Linked DNA regions of Coturnix japonica. The protein of the gene in region 2 purifies or fractionates together with the protein of the main gene of each other region. This does not show direct contact. Links are inferred from orthologs where the notes say so. Each region holds a gene or a part of one and is shown on either strand. Other genes may lie near its edges. The genes, in order: HADHB and GPC1.

Region 1 (7,129 bases), on a different chromosome or scaffold from region 2:
CTCAGCCAATTACTGCAGCATCTCTTTCCCCCACCTTCCCTGGTTACAGGAGAAGGTGACTGCCCACCCCTTAGGGCTCTCAAGCCATGTAAAGGAGCTTTCAAATACACAGCATCATCCTTTATAGACACTATTTGCAAACACGGCACATGAAAAGAATTATTGAGAACCCTCAGTACAAGGCACTGAGTTGCTTTAAACAGAACAGAAAACATTTCCTGCAGTTCAGAAAGCTGTGTCTCGTCTGACCCAACCTCCTAGCACAGAATTACTCACACCATGACCTTCCCTAGTTGAGACGTGGCCAACTAGTTTAAAGTTCAGCAGTTGCTCCAAGTTAAAATTAAACCACGGTCCCATCTGACTGGCAGGTGACCAAAGCAAGTATTTGCATATACAAGGATAAAACTGCTGGTGGAACACAGAGCCTCACAATCTCATCAGTGTTTCCAGTACGTGTTATGTAATGGCTTAGCCTGGTTGCAGAGAATAACTGAAAATCACATGCCACCTCCATAATTTCCCTTCAGTGGATCAATTTCTCTCTGTGTCTAATATGCAAACAGCATTTTTTGCTTGCCAGAAAAACAGACGAGCAACTAAGCTGCTCCGTTTCAATTCATTTAAATACTAAAACAAATACAAAGCAATGTATCACAGCATGCTCTGCTCCTCTCAAGTACTTCTGACAAGCCAGCAATTGAATCCAACTGGTCATTTCAGTGAAGAATCGAGCAGAGGCTTCACAGCATCAGAATGCATTTGATCTATGGCAGATTCCCATGCAGTTATTGGATAAGACAACACTGCACAAATAGCCTATACTGCAAACACACTGTTCCAGAACTTTCTGTAAGGGGTTTATCTTCTTCTTACTAGCTGCTGAAATCTAACTTATAGGAGATAAGCTGTACATCACCCACCTCTCTGGCAACATTGCTTGTTTTCACTTCCTGGATAACTGTGCCATACACAATGTAATCAACAACATCCTTTGGGACACTGGTCCTGTTCAGTAAGCCCCTAAGGAGAAGACAGAAACAAGTAGAATTTGCAGCATGTGAGCAATGACTTTGCCTCTGCCATCAAGGTCCTACCTTCCACTAGCTTGTCTGAAGAACAAGGCAACAGTGGAGCTACACCTACTGCACAAATTCATATGAAATCTTGCTTGTATGTGTACTTAATGACAAGTGCAATTGACTGCAAAAAAATCATAGCAATAACACTACTATAAATAGCCATAGAATGTGTTGGAAAGGACCACAATGATCATCCAGTTCCAACCCCCTGCTGTGTGCAGGGTCACCAACCAGCAGCCCAGGCAGCCCAGAGCCACATCCAGCCTGGCCTTGAATGCCTGCAGGGATGGGGCATCCACAGCCTCCTTGGGCAACCTGTTCCAGTGAGTCACCACCCTCTGGGTGAAAAACTTCCTCTTAAGATCCAACCTAAACCTCCCATCTCAGTTTAAAACCATTCTCCCTTGTCCTATCAGAATCCACCCTCATAAACAGAAGTTAAATGGTGACATAACTTCATGAAAGCAGTTCCCATTTCACTCCAGAAGTGGTTGTTATATTCCCCAATTTGACTCTTCCAGCATCAAATTAATGGAAGAATGCCTTAAGAGATAACAAACCTTTGGTGTAGGAACATGAAAGCTCCCATAAAGAGACATAGAAAACGAGCAGTCTGTTTCCACAGTTCATTAAGAAAACACTGCATAACTTGTCCAAACATTGTGGCAAATATACCAACACAGGAAACCCCATTGTAGGCAGTGGTTAAGAATAGTGGGATTCATAGTTTAATGCACTACAAGGACCAAATGAAAAGGAAATTCAGTTTACTTACTGCAGTGCTGCTCGGGCTAAGTCATGGGGCATAAGATCTGCGTAGCTGGAAGTCAAAAAAGAAAGGCAAAAATTTAAGTGACAGAAAGCCATAGAAAATGACTTCACCCAAACACCATAAGCAGACATCAGCTGCACAATATAGCACTAGAGGCATTAAAGAAATAACTACATGAACAAGCAAGCCCATTCTTTCCCCACAGAAAGATTCCACCACCAACCACGTGAGCATGTGTTTCCTCATGCTATACTTACGAGGTGCCAGACTGCAAGAACGGAATACGGACGCCCTCCACCACAACAATATTCTTCACACCACTTTTGGCTAAGGTCTTCTTGCTCTTAGGCTGAACAGCTGAAAGGGAAGCATACTTAACTATTAACAAGCAAGCTTAGAGCTGTTAGAACTAGGAGAAAACTAGGGAAGATGTTCTCTTTTGGTGCGTAAGTCAATAGCGTTGCAGGGAGAACACCCATGTTGTTATCTTGTCTCTGGTTAATCAGGTGATGTATAAAAACAGTTTAACAACTCACTATTTCCCCTATTAACACAGAGATTTGTAGTGCTGAGGCAACAGCACTGCTGAGAATAATGCTTGCAGCTCCTAGTCTCCATGAACACTGGTGAGAGCAGGAGCAGATGCAACTAAAAATGGTGCACAGCTTACAGTAATGAAGTAGGACAAATTGAAAGCCCTGCAGCCAGAGTTAAACCTCACACAGTGTTAGATCTCACAGTCTCTCTATAAGAAACAGCTGACGATCCACCTTGCAAAGTAACTACTTATATCTGTGCTCTCACTGCACAGTAAAGGTGAGATAACTCATGATAAATCAATATACAGTTCAATAAACAACTAACTTGCACAAAGCAGAGCAGGAGAAAAGATGTATATGGTTGCTGCAGGTAACTTGTTACTTTAAGGTATCCAATTATTTCAGGATCAAGATAAAGCAGTGTCACAATACAGCACCATTCAACAAGCCACCAGAGCTCTTTTGGAATGAGAATAAACAGAGTTAACAAGAATTCCCTAACCTACTCAGACGCGCAAATCATAATGAGCATATACAGCAGCATGGGGTAACTCCATTTGCAAACCATGAAAGGACAAAACCAGATTAAATCTGGCTATATAGCATGCTGAGTAAACACGCAGGTATGCAACTCCAGCATGTTCATGTGTTGTTTGTTCTACAAGGCTCTCTGTGCAAAACCAAGGGGGTAAAGGGAAGTTACCACTTAGGTTCTCTTCCCAAATCCAGGCAGCTCAAAGCATTAGTCACTTGAGAAAGCACACAATCAATATTAGAGCCCTACAGTACCCAACTGCTCTGTGAGAACCACAGCTAATAATCCCTGTAACAGTGTGCTCTCAACAGCTCTGCTGGGACCTGAGTCTCACTGGACTTCAGAGCTAACTCCACAATCTCCTCCTAGTCGAGGACAATTCCCTCTTCTCCAGGGAAAAAGGCCTGATTATATCCAGTTTGTAACTTCCTAGCTTAGCTTCTCAGCCTAGAAAATCAGGTGAGGATGTGCTGTGAGCTCTAGGATGGGTACAGCATTTGGGGTTGAGAGGCATTAAGGTGTTTGTAGCATTCCACCACGGTGCTTTGCTTGGAGTTTTATTTCTTTGCAATTTTAGATGGGCACCTGTGATTTACAGCTGTCTGCACTGCGTATCTGAGATCTGTGCTTCAAAAAGGGTAGCACAGCCTTCTAGCACAGATCCAATGGGATCTCTGGTATTTTCACTTTACCTGGAGCTTGTAACTGTGAAGAGCAGCTGAGAGATCGAGCAACTGGAAAACAAAAGAAGGAGGAAAAGGATCAGCCAAATCTTAAGTGCCAAAAACATTTCTGCTTTCTGAACGTAACAGAATCACAGAATGACCCGGGTTGGAAGGGACCTCAAGGATTGGGCAATGTAGTTCCAACCCCCCTGCCTGGCAGGGCCACCAAACATACACCTTTACTAGATCAGGTTGCCCAGGAGACCCCATAGATCCCCATAGAGACCCCATAGATCAGGTTGCCCAGGGCCCCGTCCAACCTGGTCTTGAACACCTCCAAGAACGGGGCATCCACAACCTCCCTGTGCAGCCTGTTCCAGGGCCTAACCACTCTCCTAGTGAAGAACTTCCCCCTAACATCCAACCTAAACACAGGTAACAACCTGACACGTCAAGGTTCTGATAAATGTAAACATACTTACAGACCCTGATGGCCCATGCTGAAGAAGCAGGGAGGTTTCGGACGGTATGGCTCAGCATAGAAGTCATTTTGATATCTAGAAGTGGAAAAAGGTTGTTAATAATCCACTCTGACCTATCTGGATTAATTTCAAGGGAAATAACCTGCTCGCTTCACACAAGAGCCAAAGAAAGGGAAGAAACAGAAGCTGATCCAAGAGCAGCAGAGATTACTTTCTGTTACAGCATCTAACAGATGAAGTGACTGGCTTGTGACTGCGGCCTGCTAATACCCCTGTAAATTAACACTTATCTCCAGGAGGACCCAGCTCTGATCTGTCAGCAGCTGGTAGTTTTAGCTTCCCCCCTCAATAACTATCCCACCACTTCCCCCTTGAAATACCGTCCCGGAGCCCAGCCAACGTCACCACCAGTGTGATCCTCCTGACGCACTCACCTTGGCACCATTTCACACCACGGCCTTTAACTTTAACCCCAATAACCCTCATTGGGCATCCACACAATAAGCAGAATATCCCACTCAGCGCTTCTCTTTAAAGGTCCCTTCCAATTTAAAAGGTTCTATGACTCTCTCTGGCTATAGCAGCATCCTACAAACCAATATCAAGCTCCTCACACAGATAAAGACCCCATAAACCAAACCTCCTCCCTTCTCTATCCTATCTATCTCTTGTCTCTATCTATCTTCTCTCTCCCTCTCTGCCTCCCCTCTCTTCCCTCATACCTCTGCCGATATCCCAGAGCAGTTCTCACATACCCAACCCAACGCAAGCACAGCACCCATGGATTTCATTGCCTCAAACGCATAAAAACCTTATTTTATTCTTTTTTTTCCCTTTTTTCCCTCCCAGGAACCCTCAGGGACCCCAATAAAACACCTCAATGCCCATAGAGACCCAGAACCTGCTTTGCTTGCATAGCAGCCCCTACACCCCCATATATACACACATATAACACCACACACATCACTTCCTTACCCCTCCTAGGCCTCACCCCCAAATAACCCCCCCCCCAAAATGCCCATAAAAGCCAACTAATCCCAATCCCCCCCACATTCCACGCTGTTTAACCCACACAAGCCCCTATTTCCCCACATAAACCATTATTTCCCCCATTAAATCGCAATTTTCCCTCATAAACCCAACAATCTCCCACCTCCTCCTGCGCACCCCCGTCCTCTCAGCGCCGCCGCCTGCCCTCATGAAGGCCCCCACCCCGCCTCCAGGGCTGCCTCACCCACACCCCCTTTCATCCTTTTCCTCCGCTAGACTGATATCACCTTTACATTATCACCTACAGCCACTAAAGCTTTATGGATAATATGAAATAGAGAGGGAATCAAAACCAAATCGTGCTCGGAGACAGGCACTAGTGTAGACAGCCTCAAGGGCGGATCGAAGCCCCCCCTCCCTTGGCGGCCTCTCCCTCATTCGACCTCGCGCGCAACAAGATGGCGGCCGCAGTGCGCGCTATGGGCAGCTTGGGGCGCTTCGCGGCCGCTACCAAGTATTACCCGCCTCGTCGACAGGGAGCTGAGGGTGAGATATGGGTGGGGGGGAGCCTGGTGTGGTAATGGGGTCGGTGAGGTGGGGGGCAGTGCTGAAATGACGGGTGGGTGGATGTGGGGGGGGTGTGGAGGGCTTATAAGGGGGTTTGTGAAGGGGCTGTAGGTGTATTCATATATAAAGGTGTTAATAAAGGGGGTTTGTGAGGGGTAAAGGGTCGTAGGGATGGTGTTGTGAAGGAGCTGTGGGTGTATCCACGTATAAAGGTGTCAATAGAGGGGGTATATGTGGGGTAAAGGGTCGTAGGGATGGTGTTGTGAAGGGGCTGTAGGTGTATCCATATATAAAGGTGTTATTGAAGGGGGTTTGTGAGGGGTAAAGGGTCATAAGGATGGTGTTGTGAAGGGACTGTAGGTGTATCCCTATATAAAGGTGTCATTGGAGGGGGTTTGTGAAGGGTAAAGTGACATAGGGATGATGTTGTGAAGCCTGTAGGTTATATATAAACGTGTTAATGGTGGGGGGTTTGTGAGGGGTAAAGGGTTGTAGGGATGGTGTTGTGAAGGGGCTGTAGGTGTATTTGTATATAAAGGTGTTAATAAAGGGGGTTTGTGAGGGGTAAAGGGTTGTAGGGATGGTGTTGTGAAGAGGCTGTAGGTGTATCCATATATAAAGGTGTCATTGGAGGGGGTTTGTGAAGGGTAAAGGGTTTTAGGGATGCTGTTGTGAAGGGGCTGTAGGTGTATCCATATCTAAAGGTGTTAATGGTGGGGGGTTTGTGAGGGGTAAGGGGTCGTAGGGATGGTGTTGTGAAGGGGCTGTAGGTGTATTCACATATAAAGGTGTTAATGGAGGGGGTTTATGTGGGGTAAAGGGTCGTAGGGATGGTGTTGTGAAGGGGCTGTAGGTGTATCCATATACAAAGGTGTTAATGGAGGGGGTTTGTGAGGGGTAAAGTGTTGTAAGGATGGTGTTGTGAAGGGGCTGTAAGTGTATCCACATATAAAGGGGGTTTATGTGGGGTAAAGGGTCGTAGGGATGGTGTTGTGAAGGGGCTGTAGTTGTATCCGCATATAAAGGTGTCAATGGAGGGGGTTTGTGAAGGGTAAAGGGTTGTAGGGATGGTGTTATGAAGGGGCTGTAGGTGTATCCATATATAAAGGTGTTAATAAAGGGGGGTTTGTGAGGGGTAAAGGGTCGTAGGGATGGTGTTGTGAAGGGGCTATAGGTGTATCCATATATAAAGGTGTTAATAAAGGGGGGTTTGTGAGGGGTAAAGGGTCGTAGAAATGGTGTTGTGATGGGGCTGTAGGTGTATCCATATATAAAGGTGTCATTGGAGGGGGTTTGTGAAAGGTAAAGTGCCATAGGGATGGTGTTGTGAAGCCTGTAGGTATATCCATATATAAACGTGTTAATGGTGGGGGGTTTGTGAGGGGTAAAGGGTCGTAGGGATGGTGTTGTGAAGGAGCTGTAGGTGTATCCACATATAAAGGTGTCATTGGAGGGGGTTTATGTGGGGTAAAGGGTAGTAGGGGTGGTGTTATGAAG
Region 2 (6,449 bases):
AGCCGCTGCAGAGCTGCTGCCGCCTCAGTTTTCTACCATCTCTGTTCCAAGCAGCCTGAAGGCCAGACCATGAGGATTTAGGGACTTGGCAGCTCCTTGTGACCTCAGATGACTCCCGTGTGGTCTTGCATTCCGCAGGACACACCAAATGCTTCCTGGCAGGGGAAGAGATGTAGCAGAGAGCAGGGGTGGCTCTCGCTCATATAGAACAGAAAGTACCTCATGTTCCTGCGGCTTCTCCATATGGAAGAAAACACCTGTGATGTTGATTTTCCTTCTCTGCACAAAGGGGGTCAAATCCCAGGGTCCAGGCTGAAGAACTCATTCTTTAGCAGAGATTAATTTTCTATCCTAGATCCTAATACCTTCCCCATCAGTCTGGCAGGAGACTGTCACAGCAGATGGTGTGATGCTGCAGAAAGCTTATTCTGCACATGTTCGTTGTGCTGATATTCATGAGCAAGGAAACCACCAGGTGAGCTGTGCCCAGCAGTTCAGCAGGGCATCAGTAGAACACACCATTCTACACCATCCCATAGCACGCAGTGCCACTCAGCTGCACAATAGGATTTCCTGTGAGCAGGGGTCCACCCAGCCAGGGCACAAATGGGGACCAACATCACTTCAAACGTGTATTCAGTCCCTTGTCTGTGCAAAGCAGTAGGAGTTGGCAGAAAGGCCCCAGATGCCTTCCATGAGGTCCTGCAGACACTGTGCAGAGGCAGTAGGTCCACAGTGGAAGCACAATGTTAACAAGGATGGCCTGATCCTGAGTCCACTGCTGTCAATGTAACAGCATGCACAGCCCTCAAAAATATGTTCTCTTTGATACTGCATGGCTAATGTTCAGGTCCTGACTGCTCCCACTGAATGAGCATCCTGGGCAAGTACTACAGAAGGGATAGCACAAATCCACAGAAGATACCAGATCATGCCCATGCAGGGCACAGTCTGTGCTCTGCTCTGTCATATAGGATTTAACAGCATGCACAGTCACACCTAAAGCTAAACATGCCATGTGAGTTGTTATGTTTTCGTGTTCTGTGAAATAGCATCTCCTGTAACATCACAGAGCTTGCAGTTCAACTTTGCTGCCACAGAGGGGTTGCAGTGTCATCTACAAGACTCTATTTTCAGGCAATTACAGTCTGCGGATCCACTAATGCTGTGATAGATATTTAAATCAAAGGCTGCATCCCCAAATTAGTGATAAATTATATTTGATTACTTTCTATAGATATCTTTTGTTTGACCTGTCCTAATTTGTCCAGCTGAAAGAGAAACGCTGTTGTCACCAAGTCCTTTCCAGCTACATGGAAGGGCCTAAAGGTAAAACACGGGCAATGCCAAGGAAATTCTGCCTTTTCCTGCATGTTTTGCTCCAGTCCTTGATCAAATGATGACCTCTGGCAGTAAAACATACAGCCACAATTTAAAGGAAGCTACAGTTTCCTCCCAGCCAACACCTCCTGACAAGACCAGTGTCTCTTGGCCAAGAGGAGCTCTCAATAACTGCAGAATGCAGTCCTGTCAAGTTGTGAGAGCGGTGTGCTGACCTTTCAGAAGCCGGACAGTCACCCTGGTCAGGGGAGCAGTGACAGCTAACAGTTGGCTTCCTGTGCTCAGAGAGGACAAAGCTTCATCAAAACCCCGGTGTAAACCCTTGGGGAAGGGAATATTCCTCCCCCTCTTGATTCCTCCCCCTCTTCCGTAGCAGGCCGCCGATGGGAAGTACATCCAATTAGCCACAGCACACTGCCACTCGGTTCGTTAGCTCCTGGCAAGAGGCAGGCAGCTGGCCAATGCACCCACAGAACACCGGCCTGAATGCAGCAGTAGTATCCTTATTTGGCAGCATCCCCTGAGATGGAGGTTACACTGCAGTGGGGTTTTTGATGTTAGCACTCCAACCTAAATGTACAACCTGGGTATACAAAGAGGAGTGAGAGCTTTCCTAACATGAGCAGCCTCCCCCAGCAGACTGCAGTAGGAGAGAGGCTGTGCTGTAATGCTGTCACACTATAGAAGGTCTCTGCTCTGCGTTGCAGAGGGTATCAGACCACGTCAAGGAAATGGATACCTTAACACACACACAGCTCACTTCAAGAAGTACCCACTGTCTTAGCTGAGTGAAAAAACAAAAGAGCTCTTTTCTCACTTAAAATACAAGTCTAATTTTCCCATTCCTCATGTAGGCTGCAACTTCTCCCTCCCATGTATTTACTTTCCATTCAGAAGTGAGCAATTCTGATCCCTTTGCTCTCACCCACGGAAAAAGATTACAGCTTCATGTTTCTAGATCACATCCCAGGGAGGGCTGCCAGGGATTCCCATGTGCTCACATATGCCATGGCGTAGATGAGGAAGCAGAACCTGTCCCTAAGCCTCAGCCTTTGGGAGAAGACAGATGACCCAAATGGTATTAAAGCCCAGAAAAACATCCTGCAATATATTTAGATTTAGTGTTCAGATCACAGGCAGAGAAACAGTGGTGTAAAAGAGGCTCCTTCAGCTCTTCCAGGGGCCCCTTCTGTACTCTCCAAAGGCCTCAAAGAGTCTGAAAAGGTGCCACGGGGCAGTGAGGAGTGAGGCCACCTTACCCATCAGATACTTCCACTCGGTGTTCAGGTCAGCTTGGTTGGCCAGGCAGCCCTTGACCACGTTCAGGCAGTAGTTGCTGCATGGCTTCACGCTGGCCATGCCCCGGCAGTGCGGGCAGTACATCAGCTTCATGACAGCACGGGTGCACTCGTGGCTGAGGGACACCTGGGGAGACGGAGCAGAGTCAGAAACATGGGCAGGCGGTGTGTCAACTTAAACCAAACCATCCCATGAGGCAGAACCCAGGGCTCCCAGCAAGGCCCCAGCCTCTGCAGCACAGAGGTCCCTGTAACACATCCAATAGGCCCCGTGGAGGTGCTGATGGAGCTCGCTGCTCCCCTGTCTTATCACTAAGAGCTTCCCCTATCTTTGCTTGCACCCAGTTCCAATTCTCTAATCATTCTTTTAAAATCATTTACAAAAAGAAATTATCAAGTGTCTGCATGCCAGCCTTGCTTAGGGACAAGGAGCTGTTACTCCCCCAGGGGGGAACAAACTGGGAGGTCCGAATGCTTGACCCTCATGCTGCAGCCCTGAAAGCTGCCCCTCATCTCTTTACTGGTTGTGAAAAACACCTTGAATATGTTCTTGTACATTTCTTCTGTGGGACAAAGAAATGCTCAATATAAAGATTCACTTCTGGCCTTGAGACAGCAAATCCCTCAGACACGGCCACACACAGCCCTGCCCAGTGGGTGTCCTTCAGTCCTTGCTGAAGTGAACACTTCACGCTTACCAAACATGGCACAGACTGGAACACGGGTACTGGAGCTCACCTTACAAAGATGCAATTTTCAGCTGCATCGTCTGTGCAATGACCTTGATTCCCTATGTTGACATGTTCTCCTTTAGCTTTAATGGCACCTATAGTCCTGCCTTAGCTCAGTGACATAGAAATTGCATAAAGATGTCAAGAAGAAATGCATGATACATCGGAGAAGCCGTTTACCCGGGACCCAAAAAAAGAAAGTTACTGAGTGATATGGCTCGGAGCCAGGACACTCCTCATTCAGCTGCCAGAGGTACAAATAAGCATGCCAAACAAAGCCACGCTCAACCTAAAAATACATGATTTCTATGTCACTGCTCAGTTAAAATCTGCATGCTCTGTTCTGATCCCAGCAACATCAGTGGGAGCAGCCCCTGAAAGTGCAAACCCAGTGACAAAGTGATATAGAAAAAATGTTACCTTCTAAAAAATACCCCAAATGGGGGATGATTCGGTCTTGAGCAATGAATCATTTTAATTAAAGCTACTTTACAGCTGGAGATACAGTGGCTGATTGGAGTTGCAATGAGGTAACGTAACGGGAACAGGTGGCTGCAGCACACAAAGCCCCGCGCCACCACCGGCACCGACACTGCAAGGAGGCTGTCATCAGGTATTACCCCGTGACTGCGCTGTGCATCAACAGCAGAGCTCTGTGCTTTTCCATGGCTGCTTTCCAAAGCCCGATGTGCCCATGCACGGCTGATGAAGCCACCCAGCCAGCTGCCAATTGCTGGAGGCAGAGCAGAAAACAGCCTCCTGTGTGAATGTCTGGAGCAGGAGGGGAGCTTGTGGGTCCGCAGGGATTGGGGCACCGCAGCGCAGTGCTGGGACTCACTGTGTACTGTGCGGTACTGGCGGCTGCAGAGGGGCCAGCAGGGAATGAGCGCACGTGGAGATAATACGAGAGAGAGCTGAGAACACACGTAGTTCTCGGCTTTCAAACTGGCGTTTGTTTCCCTCAATTTTCCCCCTCCTGAGCAATGTTTAAATCAATTACAGTAAAATTAATGACTTTTGCAAGCGATCTGCTGAGAGGATAGGCTGGGGATTAGTCCCAAGCTGGGTTCCTTGCAACCACCCCAGACAATTTAGAAAACATTCAGCCTACGAGGCTTCTAACCAAGAAGTCTCCTGCCAAGCAGCTTATTAATACACTTCCAAAACAGAGAGCCACAGAAATGCAGGTGTTGAGGGACAAACAGTCACCCATTCTGACTGCCTGCACTGAGATGTGCGGGGAGAACAAAGCCATCCCACTGCCTAAAACGTGAGTTCAGAATGAACTTCTGAAATGAAGACACAGGGGAGGCAGAGCTGCTCGTGGAATGGGAAAAGCAACTCAGGCACACAAGGATGTCCTGGCTGGACACTTGGGGACTGAAGGCACCTGAGTGTAGACATGGCGGGGGCCCCAGTCTCCATAGGGCAAGCCAATTACTTCTGACAGAATTGGCTGGAAAGACCAAATAACTAAAAGTTTGGGATGTAAAAACCATGGTTATGGGGACTAGTGACAAAAAGGCACCAGTACTGCAACAAGCTCTGCATCATCACATCCAGGGGGTTGAGGGTTTCTCTGATGAAACAACAGCCCCCCTCCCCTTCTCAGTGTCTCAGCTCTGAAGGAAGGCTGAGCTGTAGGAAGCCACAGGCATCCGGCAAAGCAGCACCAAACTGCTATGGGGCAGTTTATGTGCAGCAAGTCCATCCCCACAGCACAGCTGTGTGAGCCCACTTGGAGGTCCTTGGCTGCTCAGCACCCACACCCTGCAGCCAAACTGCAGATGCTGCTTTTGAAATGTTGGCTTAGATCAAGGGAAAGGAAAAAAACAAAAAAACACTCCACCCAAATCCTTTATCCTTTTGAAGCCTTGCTTGAAAGCAAATGAGAACCTGCAGCCTAGCTGCAATGTGATGGGGCTCCTCTGCCTTCAGGGGCCTTTAAGTGCATCTGAAAAGCATTTAACACCAATAGAGCAAGTGGAGCTCTCCATGCTCTGTTCATATCCCTACTTCTCTTGCACGCTCATCCCCAGGCTGCTGTGAGCCATCTGTGCTTCATGCCCCCAGGAGCCAGGGGAGGTACACAGAGGGCTCTCAGAGGAGGAAGAGGCCGGCTGGTGGAAGGGGAAGGCCAGGCCTGCCCATAAAGCCTGTGGCCAAGGAACTGTAGTTGTGTGAGCTGCCTCTGCTCTGGAGTTCCCCACCAGGTCCCTGCTCTGAGCAGCTCATGCTCTGCCTCTTGCCCGTCCCTCTGGCTGGCACAAGGACAGCAGGGCACTGCAGCACCTGGGTGCTGCCTGACAGCATGCAGGGATGCCTGAGGAGAGGACAAAATGCCTGTGCCAAACGTACGTCAGATTGGGCCTGCATATATTCACAGGTATATCTTTCCACTCTGAATGTCCACTGTCTGGATGGCCATTTTAAGCGCCAGCATCACCAGTTAAACCAGCACTGTCACACAGCTCACATTTCCAAGCAAACTGATGCTTACTTACAGCCTGCAGGTCATGGGCAGCTCTGTGCATTGCTGCTGTGAGAAAACACAGCAGATCTGCACCTTTTATTTTCACATTTCATCTTCATGGTCTCTCCAAAGAAGGATCCTCAGAGCGCTGTGATCAAAGGAACAGGGGTGCTGTGATTTCCATCCCTAAGTGTGAGCTGCACATCATGGGCCTGGCTGCTTCAAGCACGGATGGGGCTGTGAGTGCCCGGACCATGTGGCCAGCAGCTGCCTCGTGCACATTTGTGCCAGTCCTGCTGCAATTAGCACCTTGGTGTGTGTTAAACAAACCACGACTTCCCATCTTCCCAAGTAAAACTCTTAAAAGAAACAGCTGCAGGGCTGATGGAAATACGATGCTTTCAAAGACTAATGAATTGTATAATCACCGCAGTCATTATTTTGCAGCTCCCTTATAGAAATGCACAGCAGTGAGTCCATGGAGCACAGTGGGTTTTAAGCCTCACCAAGCCCATCATTCAAGATGCATCAGCCATGTTTCCAAAGCCTCTTTTGAGGGACCTGATAGCAAACCGTGGCTTCTGGATGCAGCATCAGGCACAGATG

Evidence for each region.
Region 1: the proteins of GPC1 (region 2) and HADHB purify together in Homo sapiens (co-immunoprecipitation; 3 studies listed by BioGRID and IntAct, counting the BioPlex papers as one, with this or other methods). This does not show direct contact. The link is inferred for Coturnix japonica from reciprocal best matches to the Homo sapiens genes GPC1 and HADHB.

What each region holds. Positions count from the first base shown.
Region 1 is NC_029518.1:95,818,577-95,825,705, reverse strand, and holds the start of HADHB (trifunctional enzyme subunit beta, mitochondrial), read right to left. Parts: upstream 4,618-7,129; 5' UTR 4,562-4,617; coding exon 4,510-4,561; intron 4,492-4,509; exon of another isoform or gene 4,456-4,491; intron 4,331-4,455; exon of another isoform or gene 4,287-4,330; intron 4,151-4,286; coding exon 4,076-4,150; intron 3,663-4,075; coding exon 3,621-3,662; intron 2,212-3,620; coding exon 2,112-2,211; intron 1,903-2,111; coding exon 1,858-1,902; intron 1,024-1,857; coding exon 924-1,023; intron 1-923. Other genes in the region: HADHA (trifunctional enzyme subunit alpha, mitochondrial), read left to right, coding at 5,524-5,611. UniProt on the Homo sapiens protein: Mitochondrial trifunctional enzyme catalyzes the last three of the four reactions of the mitochondrial beta-oxidation pathway.
Region 2 is NC_029524.1:616,049-622,497, reverse strand, and holds part of GPC1 (glypican-1), read right to left. Parts: intron 2,767-6,449; coding exon 2,601-2,766; intron 1-2,600. UniProt on the Homo sapiens protein: Cell surface proteoglycan that bears heparan sulfate. Binds, via the heparan sulfate side chains, alpha-4 (V) collagen and participates in Schwann cell myelination.